Macaca fascicularis: one gene and its partner. The protein of the gene in region 1 purifies or fractionates together with the protein of each later gene. This does not show direct contact. Links are inferred from orthologs where the notes say so. Each region holds a gene or a part of one and is shown in the gene's direction. Other genes may lie near its edges. The genes, in order: RAD51 and SQSTM1.

Region 1 (6,860 bases):
GGTCTTACTGTGTTGACCAGGTTGGTCTTGAACTCCTGGTCTCAAGCAATCCACCTGCCTCAGCGTCCCAAACTGCTAGGATTACAGTCATGAGCCACCACGCCCAGCCAAAGCATCCTGTGCTGTTTGCACTAAGTATGAAAGTGCCGTTCTGGGAATTATAGTGGCCTGGACCAGTTATGCAAGGAAGACAGGGTAGCAACTTCTTTTTTTTTTTTTTTTTTTTTTTTGAGACAGAGTCTTGCTCTGTCGCCCAGGCTGGGGTGCAGTGGCCGGATCTCAGCTCACTGCAAGCTCCGCCTCCCGGGTTTAGACCATTCTCCTGCCTCAGCCTCCCGAGTAGCTGGGACTACAGGCGCCCGCCACCTCGCCCGGCTAGTTTTTTGTATTTTTTTTAGTAGAGACGGGGTTTCACCGTGTTAGCCAGGATGGTCTCGATCTCCTGACCTCGTGATCCGCCCGTCTCGGCCTCCCAAAGTGCTGGGATTACAGGCTTGAGCCACCGCGCCCGGCAGCCAACTTCTCTTTATTGACTTAGCTTTGTGCTGTCAGCTGTCATTGGCAGAGAGAAGGCTGTGGTGGTGTTACGGTATAAGAGATAAGCTCCAATTCAGGATTCTGCACAAGAACATTAAGCACCGGAGCTGAGGCCTCACACTATTTCTGCCCATTGTATAGAGACTGCCGTGTGAGTGCAGCTGATTGGGGCTGAGATAAGTAGGGGGAAAGCAGAGAAAGACTTGATTTTTCTGTCTCTTTTTTCAAATTTCCCATCTCCGACTAATCTTCAAGACTCTAGGAGTGCAAAAAGCTTATTTAAAAAAGACTCTAGAAGTTACTTAAATGGATTTGTGATAAACATTTTAAAGTTCAGAATCATAACTTCTGGTGCCGTGAGCATCCTTATACTCATACATGCATATTGCTTATTGCTTAAATATTAACAGCAGACATGGCTTATGTTGGCAAACTAATCTTTCCCCTCTTCTAAATTCTCCCAACCCCTGAATACACTCACATTCACCTACTAACTCATGTTTTCCCAGAAGTCATGGTTTTGGTGGCTAATGAAACCAAAACTGACTTGAATATAGGAAGAAAGAGGTGGATTTGGGTGGTTTAAGAAGAGATATAAAAGTCCCTGACAAAAAGTAGTTTTCCTCACTGTTAATGTCAGTTGTTAGAGCAGAGCTTTCTGGTCATTGTTCAACAAAAAGGTATTGATAGGCCAAGATAGCGCTCTTTTCATTCTGAGCAGCCTTATCTGTTTACCCTACCATAGTGTAAAAATATCATTTTTTATGTGCTTGATATGGAAAGTGCTGAGCAACACGGTCTTAAACTGATCTTGTAGGGCCCAAAGTCTCGGAGATCATTTAGGATCACACAAAAAAAGTTGGGAGTTACTTTTTAATTCCATTTGCTTATAAGAGTTCTTTTTAATATACATGGCATAGTGCTAGTTTAAAATTATTGATTTTGATAATGAAAAGGTTGTTAATTTGTTATTAAGTACCTCATATATAGGGCTCATTTTTCAGCTTTTGCATATAATCCAGTAGGCTCTCTATATCCCTGGATTCTGCATCAGCAAATTCAACAAACTGCATATCAAAAATTCAATCAACTACATATAAAAAAAAAAGTATACAGGAGGATGTATAGAGGTTATATGCAGGTAATATGCCATTTTATATAAGGGACTTGAGCATTCTTGGATTTTGTTATCTGCTGGGGATCCTGGAACCAACTTCCCATCTCCCCACCCCAGGATTTCAAGGGACAGTTGTATTACAAGTCTTCAAGCACCTCTGTGGCGTATGTAGGACACATATCATCTGTGTTAGATTAAATAACTAAAGTTTAAATTTATCCATGGTTTTCTTCATTTGCAGCAGTGTGGCATAAATGCCAACGATGTGAAGAAATTGGAAGAAGCTGGATTCCATACTGTGGAGGCTGTTGCCTATGCACCAAAGAAGGAGCTAATAAATATTAAGGGAATTAGTGAAGCCAAAGCTGATAAAATTCTGGTAAGTACTGCTTAATTGACCTAAGGAGGCATTAGTGGGACTAGTACAAAAGGTAATGTAGTGAAAGACTTCTTCCTTCCATCTCTCATTCTTCTGTCATCTCGTTCTCCTTTCCAGGGGTGACTGTTACCTGTTTCTTTTTTTTTTTTTTGGAGACAGGTTCTTGCTCTGTCACACAGGCTGGAGTGCAGTGGTGCCATCTCAGCTCACTGCAGCCTTCGCCTCCTAAGCTCAAGCGATTCTTCCACCTCAGTCTCCCAAGTAGCTGGGACTACAGGCACATGCCACCATGCTGGGGTAGTCTCGAACTCCTGAGCTCAGGTGATTCACCTACCTCAGCCTCCCAAAGTGCTGGGATTACAGGTGTGAGCTACTGTGCCTGGCCTCTTTATTTTTCTAGCTTCATATAGTTCTTTAACATCCATATTTCGCCATGGTTACATTTTGTTTTATGAACCTATTCCTTCAGTATTTATATAGTTACACAGTTTTACTGCCTTTATCCTTGCAGTTTTATATAGTATAGAGCAGATTTTTTTTTTTTTTTTTTTTTTTTTTTGAGACAGAGTCTTGCTCTATTGCCAGGCTGGAGTACAGTGGTGCAATCTCGGCTCACTGCAACTTCCGCCTCCCAGGTTCAAGCAATTCTCCTGCCTCAGCCTCCCCATTAGCTGGGACTACAGGTACCTGCCACCACGCCCAGCTTATTTTTGTATTTTTGGTAGAGACAGGGTTTCACCATGTTGGCCAGGATGGTCTTGATCTCCTGACCTTGTGATCTGCCTACCTCAGCCTCCTAAAGTGCTGAGATAACAGGTGTGAGCCACCATGCCCCGCTGCAAATATTTATTTATTTATTTATTTATTTATTTATTTATTTTTTTTTTTTTTTTTGAGACGGAGTCTCGCTCTGCCGCCCAGGCTGGAGTGCAGTGGCCGGATCTCAGCTCACTGCAAGCTCCGCCTCCCGGGTTCACGCCATTCTTCTGCCTCAGCCTCCCGAGTAGTTGGGACTACAGGCGCCCGCCACCGCGCCCGGCTAGTTTTTTGTATTTTTTAGTAGAGACGGGGTTTCACCGTGTTAGCCAGGATGGTCTCGATCTCCTGACCTCGTGATCCGCCAGTCTCGGCCTCCCAAAGTGCTGGGATTACAGGCTTGAGCCACCGCGCCCGATCTGCAAATATTTATTTATAAAATTGTATTTTCACGTATCGATTACTGTTAGCGTTAGATAAATTTATTGGATTACTCAAATAAATGAATATTTGTTGAAGTGGTTGCTTAATTGGAAATAAGAAAGAGTTCTGAGTCCTTAACAGTACTTTTGTTAAAAGATTGTCATATTGACTAAGCCAGTAGGGGTCCCTAAAGTCTTTCTGTTTTCACTTTTTGGGCATCAGTTTTTGTGAATGAACAAATGCTGACAGGATCTTTACTTTTTGCCTTGTGAGATCTTGGTTTCAGAAATCGAATCACTTCTCTGCTTCTATGAACACAAAAATGCAAACCTAGAATATCATGATTTGAAATGCAAAATGGTATAGACATATGTGTCTTAACTTTTCAATATTTTATGTTCTTAGTTTCTGGCCAGTAAAGATTATGATTGTATTGTTTGTTTTCCTTTTTTTTTTTTTTTCTGAGGCAGAGTCTCGCTGTGTCACCCAGGCTGGAGCACAGTGGTGCAATCTTGGCTTGGCTCACTGCAACCTTTGCCTCCCAGGTTCAAGTGATTCTCCTGCCTCAACCTCCCGAGTAGCTGGGATTACAGGCGCCCACCACCACACTTGGTTACTTTTTGTATTTTCAGTTGAAACGGGGTTTCACCATGTTGCCCAGGCTGGTCTCAAACTCCTGGCCTCAAGCAGTCCACCTGCCTCAGCCTCCCAAAGTGCTGAAATTACAGGCACGAGCCACTATGCCCACCTTTTAAAAAAAAAAAAAAGAGAGAGAGAGACAGACTCTCACTCTGTTGCCCAGGCTGGAGTGCAATGGCATGATCATAGCTCACTGCAGCTTCAAACTCTTGGGCTCAAGGAATTCTCCTCAGCCTCCTGAGTAGCTGGGACTACAGGCACATGCCACTAACCTGGCCATTTCTACCAGTTTCGTCTTTGCTAATACCTTCTCTTTCTGTTTTTCACCAAAGGAAGTAGTCTATATTCCTTGAGCTCCCATGGCTCTTTTGTTAGTACTTCTTATATTACCCATCACATCTACTTGTACTATAGTTATTTTGTATAGTGTATCTTCCTGATTAAATTATAAGTTCTGTGGAGGCAAGAATCTGCTCTTCTTTTTCTCCATATCCTTCAGAGTCCCTGGGATTATGTTTCATACAGAGTAAGTGTCTAGTATATGTTTGTTGCACGGAATTGACAGTGAGTATATGAATTGGTCAGGCTGGTCTCAAAATCCTGGCCTCGGGTAATCCGCCCGCCTCAGTCTCCCAAAGTGCTGGGATTACAGGCGTGAGCCAATGCACCTGGCCCTGTAATAAATTTTTAAATGAAATATTAAATATATAGAAAAGTTTAGAAAATAAACTTTCATTGACTTTTTCAACTATTTGTTTATTTTTTTTTTCCTTCATGGGAAATTTTAAAATTATAAAAGTTTAATCTTTGTACTTTCCATGGGTCTATTTAGATTTTCTTTTCTTTTTTTTTTTTTTTTTTTTGTTGTTGTTGTTGAGACAGAGTCTCGCTTTGTCTCCCAGGCTGGAGTGCAGTGGCCCGATCTCAGCTCACTGCAAGCTCCGCCTCCCGGGTTTACGCCATTCTCCCGCCTCAGCCTCCCAAGTAGCTGGGACTACAGGTGCCCGCCACCTCGCCCGGCTAGGTTTTTGTATTTTTTAATAGAGTCGGGGTTTCACCGAGTTAGCCAGGATAGTCTCGATCTCCTAACTTCGTGATCCGCCCGTCTTGGCCTCCCAAAGTGCTGGGATTACAGGCTTGAGCCACCGCGCCCGGCCTCTTTTTTTTTTTGGTTTTTTTTTTTTTTGAGACGGAGTCTTGCTCTGTCACCCAGGCTGGAGTGCAGTGGCGCGATCTCAGCTCACTATAAGCTCCGCCTCCCAGGTTCATGCCATTCTCCTGCCTCAGCCTCCCGAGTAGCTGGGACTACAGGTGCCTAACACCATGCCTGGCTAATTTTTTGTATTTTTAGTAGAGATGGGGTTTCACCATGTTAGCCAGTATGGTCTTGATCTCCTGACCTCGTGATCCGCCCGACTCGGCCTCCCAAAGTGCTGGGATTACAGGCGTGAGCCACCGCGCCCGGCCTAGATTTTCTTCTTGAGTGAGTTTTTGTAGTTTATCTTTCTAGGAATTTGCTTATTTCATCTAAGTTATCTAACTTGTTGACATAGAGTTGCTCAAAGGGTTTCCTTATACTACTTTTTATTTCCATAAAGTCAGTAGTAATGTTCCCTCTTTCATTCTTGATTTTAGTAATTTGAGTCTTTTCTCTCTTTTTTTGGTCAGTGCAGCTAAAAGTTTGTCAATTTCGTTGATGTTTTCAAAGAACCAGCTTTTGGTTTCATTGATTTTTCTCTATTATTCTGTCCTTTACCTAATAGTTTCGACCCAACTTGTTTTATTTCCATCCTTCTGCTTGCTTTGTTTTGTTTGCTGTTCTTTGGAAGGTTAGGTTAGGATTTATCTGTTTCATTTTTAGAGACAGAGTCTTGTTCTGTTACTTTGTTGCAGTGCAGTGGTGCGATTATAGCTCACTGCAGCCTCCAACTCCTGGTTCAAACAAACCTTCTGCCTCAGCCTCCCAGGTAACTAGGACCACAGGCACGCTCCACAATGGCCTGCTAATTTGTTGGTTTTTTTGTTTGTTTGTTTTTTTTTTTGAGACAGAGTCTCCCTCTGTGCCCAGGCTGGAGTGCAGTGGTGCGATCTCTGCTGACTGCAACCTCCGCCTCTTGGATTCAAGTGATTCTTCTGCCTCAGCCTCCCGAGTGGCTGGGATTACAGGCGCGTGCCATGATGCCTGGCTAATTTTTTGTATTTTTAGTAGAGATGGGGTTTCACCATGTTATCCAGGATGGTCTCGGTCTCCTGACCTCGTGATCTGCCTGCCTTGGCCTCCCAAAGTGCTGGGATTATAGACATGAGCCACCACGCCAGGCCTTTTTTTTTTTTTTTTTTTTTCTGACGGAGTCTTGCTCTGTTGCCCAGGCTGGGGTTCAGTGGTGCGATCTCAGCTCACTGCAGTCTCCACCACCTGGATTCAAGCAATTCTCCTGTTTCAGCCTCCTGAGTAGTTGGGACTACAGGTGCATGCCACCATGCCCAGCTAATTTTTGTATTTTTAGTAGAGATGGGGTTTCACCATATTGGGCAGGCTGGTCTTGAACTCCTGACTTTGTGATCTGCGCACCTCACCCTCCCAAAGTGCTGGGATTACAGGTGTGAGCCACCGTGCCCAGCCATGCCCTGCTAATTTTAAAACATTTTTTAGAGCCAGGGTCCCACTTTGTTGCTCAGGCTGGTCTCAAACTCCTGGCTTCCAGCAGTCCTCCCACCTCAGCCTCCCAAAGTGCTGGGATTACAGGCATGAGCCACCGCACCCAGCCTTCTTTTCTAATATAGGTATTTATAGCTATGAATTTCTCTCTGAGCACTGCTTTTGTTGGAGCCCGTAAGTTTTGGTTTATCTTCATTTTCATTCATTGCAAAAAATATTTTCTCATTTCCCTTGTCATTTCTTCTTTGACTTGTTGGTTATTTAGGAGTGTGTTGCTTTATTTTTGCATATTTGTGAATGCATTTACTTTTCAATTTTAGAATCAACCCATAGTGCTATTATAGAATACT
Region 2 (5,766 bases), on another chromosome or scaffold:
ATCCTGGGCAACAGAACAGACCTTGTCTCAAAACAAAAAAACAACAGAAAACAAAAAAAATGCAAGATAGTTTCTTGGCAATGAGGACCTTATCTTCTAGATTGAAAGCGGCCCTGACAATGACTGAGAAAGACCCCACAGCAAAGCTTATCGCTGTCCAGCGTCAGAACCCTGAGGATAAAGAGGGGCTTCTAAAATTTTAGGTTATTGTAAATACTTGGGAATACAAAGAGCAAACAATCATGAAAAGCTAGGAGACAGTGGAACAACTGATGACTCAAAAAAATCAGTTAAAGCTGGGCGTGGTGGCTCAAGCCTGTAATCCCAGCACTTTGGGAGGCCGAGACGGGCGGATCACGAGGTCAGGAGATCAAGACCATCCTGGCTAACACGGTGAAACCCTGTCTCTACTAAAAAATACAAAAAAACTAGCCAGGCCTAGTGGCGGGCGTCTGTAGTCCCAGCTACTCGGGAGGCTGAGGCAGGAGAATGGCGGGAACCCGGGAGGCGGAGCTTGCAGTGAGCTGAGATCCGGCCACTGCACTCCAGCCTGGGCGACAGAGTGAGACTCCGTGTCAAAAAAAAAAAAAAAGTTAAAAAGGCTTTTCAGCCTATAATTCTCTTGTTTGTGAAACGGTCTGTCAACTGGGTTGGAGTGCAATGGTACAGCTGTCTTGATCTCGTGGGCTCAAGTGATCCTTCTGCTTCAGCCTCCCAAGTAGCTGGAACTACAGGCATGTGCCACTGTACCTAGATTTTTTTTTTTCTTTTTTCTTTTTTTTTTTTTTTTTTTTTTTTACCCCCCCAAGTCGGAGTCTTGCTGTCGCCCAGGCTGGAGTGCGGTGATGTGATTTCAGCTCACTGCAATTTCCACCTCCTGGGTTCAAGCAGTTTTCTGCCTCAGCCTCCCGAGTAGCTGGAATGACAGGCATCCGCCGCCACGCCTGGCTAATTTTTATATTTTCAGTAAAGATGGGGTTTCACCATCTTGGCCAGGCTGGTCTTGAACTCCTGACCTCATGATCCACCTGCCTTGGCCTCCCAAAGTGCTGGGATTACAGGCGTGAGCCACCACGCCCAGCCCTGTGCCCAGCTGTTTTAAAAACATTTTGTAGAGATGGGGTCTTGCCATGCTGCCCAGGCCGACTTTGAACTCCTGGGCTCAAGAGATCTCCCACGTTGTTCTCCCAAAGTGTTAGGATTACGTGCGTGAGCCACTGTGCCTGGTCCAGCCTAGAGTTCTATAACCATCTAAAACAATCAAGTATCAGGGCAGAACAAAGTTACTTTCTGGTATACAGTCTTAATTATTTTAACCTTGGTTTGAACCACATGAAGAGATAAACCCGAAATGAAGCACAGAGCTATTAGGAAACAGGGGACCTAATAGGACAGAGGGTGAAAGTAAAGGTGGTCACAGCAGTGCAGCAGAGCCTCTGCCCAGAGAGCCGCCAGTCCTGGCTGGAACAGGAGGCTGCACAGCCGGGGACACTCTCTATGGAAAACACCAGAACCAGTGGGGCCTCGGATCCACTTCACCCTCTGAGCAATAGTCTGTAGTTTGTAGAAAACTATGGAGATGCTGTGGGGAGAACATGGGGAAAGTCAGCAAATGAAAAGAGAAGGCAGGTTGGGTGCGGTGGCTCATGTCGGTAATCCCAGCATGTTGGGGGGCGGATCACCTGAGGTCAGGAGTTCAAGACCAGCCTGGCCAACATGGTGAAACCCCGTCTCTACAGTAAAAATATAAAAGTTAGCTGGGCATGGTAGCATGTGCCTGTAGTCCCAGCTACTCTGGAGGCTGAGGCAGGAGAATCACTTGTACCCGGTGGGCGGAGGTTGCAGTGAGCCGAGAGATTGCGCCACTGCACTCCAGCCTGGGCGTCAGAGCGAGACTCCGTCTAAAAAAAAGAGAAGCCGTCATCAGTGGTAGGAAAACAAAAAGCTATGCAAGGAAATAGTCTGCCCCTTGACCCAGCAAAGAACATTTAGATAGAGGTACTAGCTGAAACACTGAATGTTCTTTTAACAAAAAACTGAGTCTTGGAAAGGGTAGTGGAAGGAGAGGCAGATACTGGTCTAGAGTAGGAAATGCACAGATGTGAACTCGATCATCAGGTGAGAGCAGCATGAGCTGAAAGGGTGCAGGGAGGCTTTGGGGAGTGGGATGGGAGCAGTGTGTGCACCACAGCCTTTGACAACCGGTGACTCTAAGCTGTGGGCATGGAGACTTTTGACACTATTTAATTTCAGAATAGTGCAGGTGATTCTTTCCTCTGTCCTTGGTGAGTTACGTGAGCCTGGAGGTGTGCAGGCTCCCTGCGCTGCCACGTCGGGCCCCATGCCTCGCCTGCATGGCCTGTCCACTCCGAGCGGAGCCCAGCGTTTAGGTGCGTGTTATGTCATCACCCAAAGCCTCTGTGTGCAAGTGTCATGAGGCACACACAGCCTTCCATCACTGTGGCTGGAGGTGCCCGCCACATGCAGTGTTGGCTCCCCCGTACTTAGGGCTTGGCCCTACCTGCTGTGTAGCCCATACCCTGCATGGTTAGAAAAAACAAGGTCTCTTTGACTTTCTGGCTTAGAAGCTGACCTTAGATGCTAGCTGAGGTTAATGTTTTACTGAATTGGAGAAAGAGAAAGCTCCAGTATCGCGGGCACACCGAGAATGTTTCCAGAAGCCACAGAAATTTGTAGCTGGGATATTGGGAGAAGCCTCGGACTCACACGTTTGCATCGTCTAGTCCCATACTAACTGTGTGATTCCGGGGTCAAGCTGGGTAGGAGAACCTAGCCCCTGCATCCACACACTGAGTGCCGCCATCCACACCCTCACCTGCTTGTGTGGACTGAACGTGAGATCTTCATGAGTCTGTAGTCCCCACAGGCCACACTCCTGCTCGCAGCTGCCTCCTTGGGGGAGTGTCACAGCTTTCTCTCTCCTCCTTGGCCTCTAGGCATTGAAGTGGATATTGACGTGGAGCACGGCGGGAAAAGAAGCCGCCTGACCCCTGCCTCTCCAGAGAGTTCCAGCACAGAGGAGAAGAACAGCTCACAGCCAAGCAGCTGCTGCTCTGACCCCAGCAAGCCGGGTGGGAATGTTGAGGGCGCCACGCAGTCTCTGGCAGAGCAGATGAGAAAGATCGCCTTGGAGTCCGAGGGGCGGCCTGAGGCAAGCCTGTGCCCCTCCCACCACCTGGGACCTCGGGCAGCCTAGCGATTTGTAGCTGCACCTCCGCCTCATCCTCAGCACTTATGCAGCCACTTATGAAACCTGAGGGAGCTGCTGCTGCTGCAGTGATGTCTGTGCCATTAAAGTCACTCTGGGAACCTGCTAGAACTTTGTAGTTACTTGGTCTTTGTGAGTGGCTCACTGATCCCCGTAGCCCCCTGCAGCCTTAAACACATGTGTGCGTGCACGCTCCCCGACTGTTTGCCAGGAGTCAGTGCCATGGTCAGGCTTGGCCTGTTGCGCGTGTCTCTTGTATGCTCATGGTGAGTTCTGTTTCAGGAACAGATGGAGTCTGATAACTGCTCAGGAGGAGACGATGACTGGACCCATTTGTCTTCAAAAGAAGTGGACCCGTCCACAGGTGAACTCCAGTCCCTACAGATGCCAGAATCCGAAGGGCCAAGCTCTCTGGACCCCTCCCAGGAGGGACCCACAGGGCTGAAGGAAGCTGCCTTGTACCCGCATCTCCCACCAGGCAAGTGAACCAAGAGTTCTGTGTTCAGTCCTACCTTTCCCTTCAGAGCATCCTGCCCCCCGATTCCAGCGACACAAACAGGATGGGACGTTCTCCACTGCAGGGCTTGTCTGTAGGTGTGGGAGGTTAGGAGTTGGTTTTGTCCTCTTACGTCTACCCTGAGCAGCAGTGAGTAAGCTCTGCTAATGCAGGAGTTCTAAAAATGTTTTTCTTTAAGCAAACTCCAGAGCCAGGAATATTAATTGTAGGAGTTTCTAAAACTTAACATGCAGACCAGGAATTAAGGTAGGTGTGACACAGAGAGGGGGCAGCACTGGGTGTGTCCCTACTACTCACACTGGGCTCAGACCTCTTCAGTGTCTCCTCAGGGAGTGCTGGTCTGAGTGGGGGTCATAGCCAAGATCCCTGGAAGAGCCAGGCAGAAGCCACCGTTGAAGTGGATGGTGTGGAAGGCAGCGGTGGGGGGTGGGGACAGCTGACAGAGACTCCTCATTGTCACTGCAGCCGTGTGTGTGTAAACCAAGGTCTGTGCACAACCTGCTGTGCGCTGCCAGTGTGTCTTCTCTGCCTTAGGGCAGGGGATGGCGAGCTATGGCCTATGGGCCAAGAGTAGTTCTTGTATTTTTCAATCAAAAGATGTGACAGTTAGAGGAAATGCGTATTTCAGTGTCCAGCGATAGTTTTGTTTACATACCACCTGGCTGCCTTGTGTCACAGTGGCAGAGTTGAACAGTGTGAAAAAGACTGGTTGGCCCTTTACAGGGAAAGCAGGTCCACTGTGGCCTGTGAGGGCCAGAGCTCTGGGCACTCGGACACTGGCAGGCCTTGGTCCCGCTGGCCAAGGCAGGAGGGTGTGTGTTTCGGGTCACTCACAGGGCTCAGCATCACTCCTCATGGCTTCCTTACTGTTTTGGCAGAGGCTGACCCGCGGCTGATTGAGTCCCTCTCCCAGATGCTGTCCATGGGCTTCTCTGACGAAGGCGGCTGGCTCACCAGGCTCCTGCAGACCAAGAATTACGACATCGGGGCGGCTCTGGACACCATCCAGTATTCAAAGCACTCCCCGCCATTGTGACCGCTTTTACCCACCTCTTCTGTGTCCCCCTCTTCTGTCTCGTAGCTGTTAAGCTAGTGTAGAATTGCAGGTCTCTGTACGGGCCAGTTTCTCTGCCGCCTTCCAGGATCAGGGGATCAGGGGTTAGGGTGGAAGAAGCCATTTAGGGCAGCAAAACAAGTGACATGAGGGGAGGGTCCCCGTGTGTGTGATGTCTGAGAAGCAAGACTGGTCTCCTGGGTGCTCTGGTTCCCTGCAGCAGGGCTGGGCCTGCGAGACCTGAGGCTCACCGCAGTGCTCCTGGCCCCTCCCTGCAGGGGCCACATTAGCAGCCCAGACATAGCTTGCCTAATGGCCTTCCACTTTCTCTTTTTAAATGACTCGGAGGTCCCTGACATTTAGTTGATTTTCTGCTAGAGACCTGGTACGCTCTGATTTTAGATAAAGGATGCCTAGGTGTTGTTGGCGGGTAAGCAGGGGAGGCGGCTGTCCTGGCACAGGCAGTGGGGAGGCCGGGGCAGCCAGTGTGGTGGGCTTCCTGCTGGGACTGAGAAGGCTCATGCAGGGCATCCGTAATGTTGGTTTCGCTGAGAGCTGCCTCCTGGTCTCTCCACCACTGTAGTTCTCTCATTGCCAAACCATCAGCTGCTTTTAAAATAAGATCTCTTTGTAGCCATCCTGTTACGTTTGTAAACGATCTAATTAAATGGCATCAGCACTTTAACCAATGACATTTGCATAGAGAGAAATGATCTGTTTGACAGTAAGTTTATTGGTGGTTCTTATACAGTATCTTTAAAAGTGCCTTAGGGAACCCTGTCCCTCCTAACAAGTGTATCTCGATTAATAATAACCTGCCAGTCACAGATCATCATCAAAGTCTTCACCAGTTGTAAAGAGGTCACACAGTCGTGGGAGTTGGGGATTCTGTGGCTCCTGGACCAGGGGCCCACCCTCTGCCCAGGGAGTCCTTGCGTCCCATGAGGTCTTCCCGCAGGGCCTCTC

Evidence for each region.
Region 2: the proteins of RAD51 (region 1) and SQSTM1 purify together in Homo sapiens (affinity purification with western blotting; 3 studies listed by BioGRID). This does not show direct contact. The link is inferred for Macaca fascicularis from reciprocal best matches to the Homo sapiens genes RAD51 and SQSTM1.

The regions. Positions count from the first base shown.
Region 1 is NC_088381.1:17,229,637-17,236,496, forward strand, and holds part of RAD51 (DNA repair protein RAD51 homolog 1), read left to right. Parts: intron 1-1,895; coding exon 1,896-2,033; intron 2,034-6,860.
Region 2 is NC_088380.1:186,724,566-186,730,331, forward strand, and holds the end of SQSTM1 (sequestosome-1), read left to right. Parts: intron 1-2,957; coding exon 2,958-3,172; intron 3,173-3,511; coding exon 3,512-3,707; intron 3,708-4,624; coding exon 4,625-4,782; 3' UTR 4,783-5,489; downstream 5,490-5,766. Other genes in the region: MRNIP (MRN complex-interacting protein), read right to left, coding at 5,623-5,766. UniProt on the Homo sapiens protein: Molecular adapter required for selective macroautophagy (aggrephagy) by acting as a bridge between polyubiquitinated proteins and autophagosomes.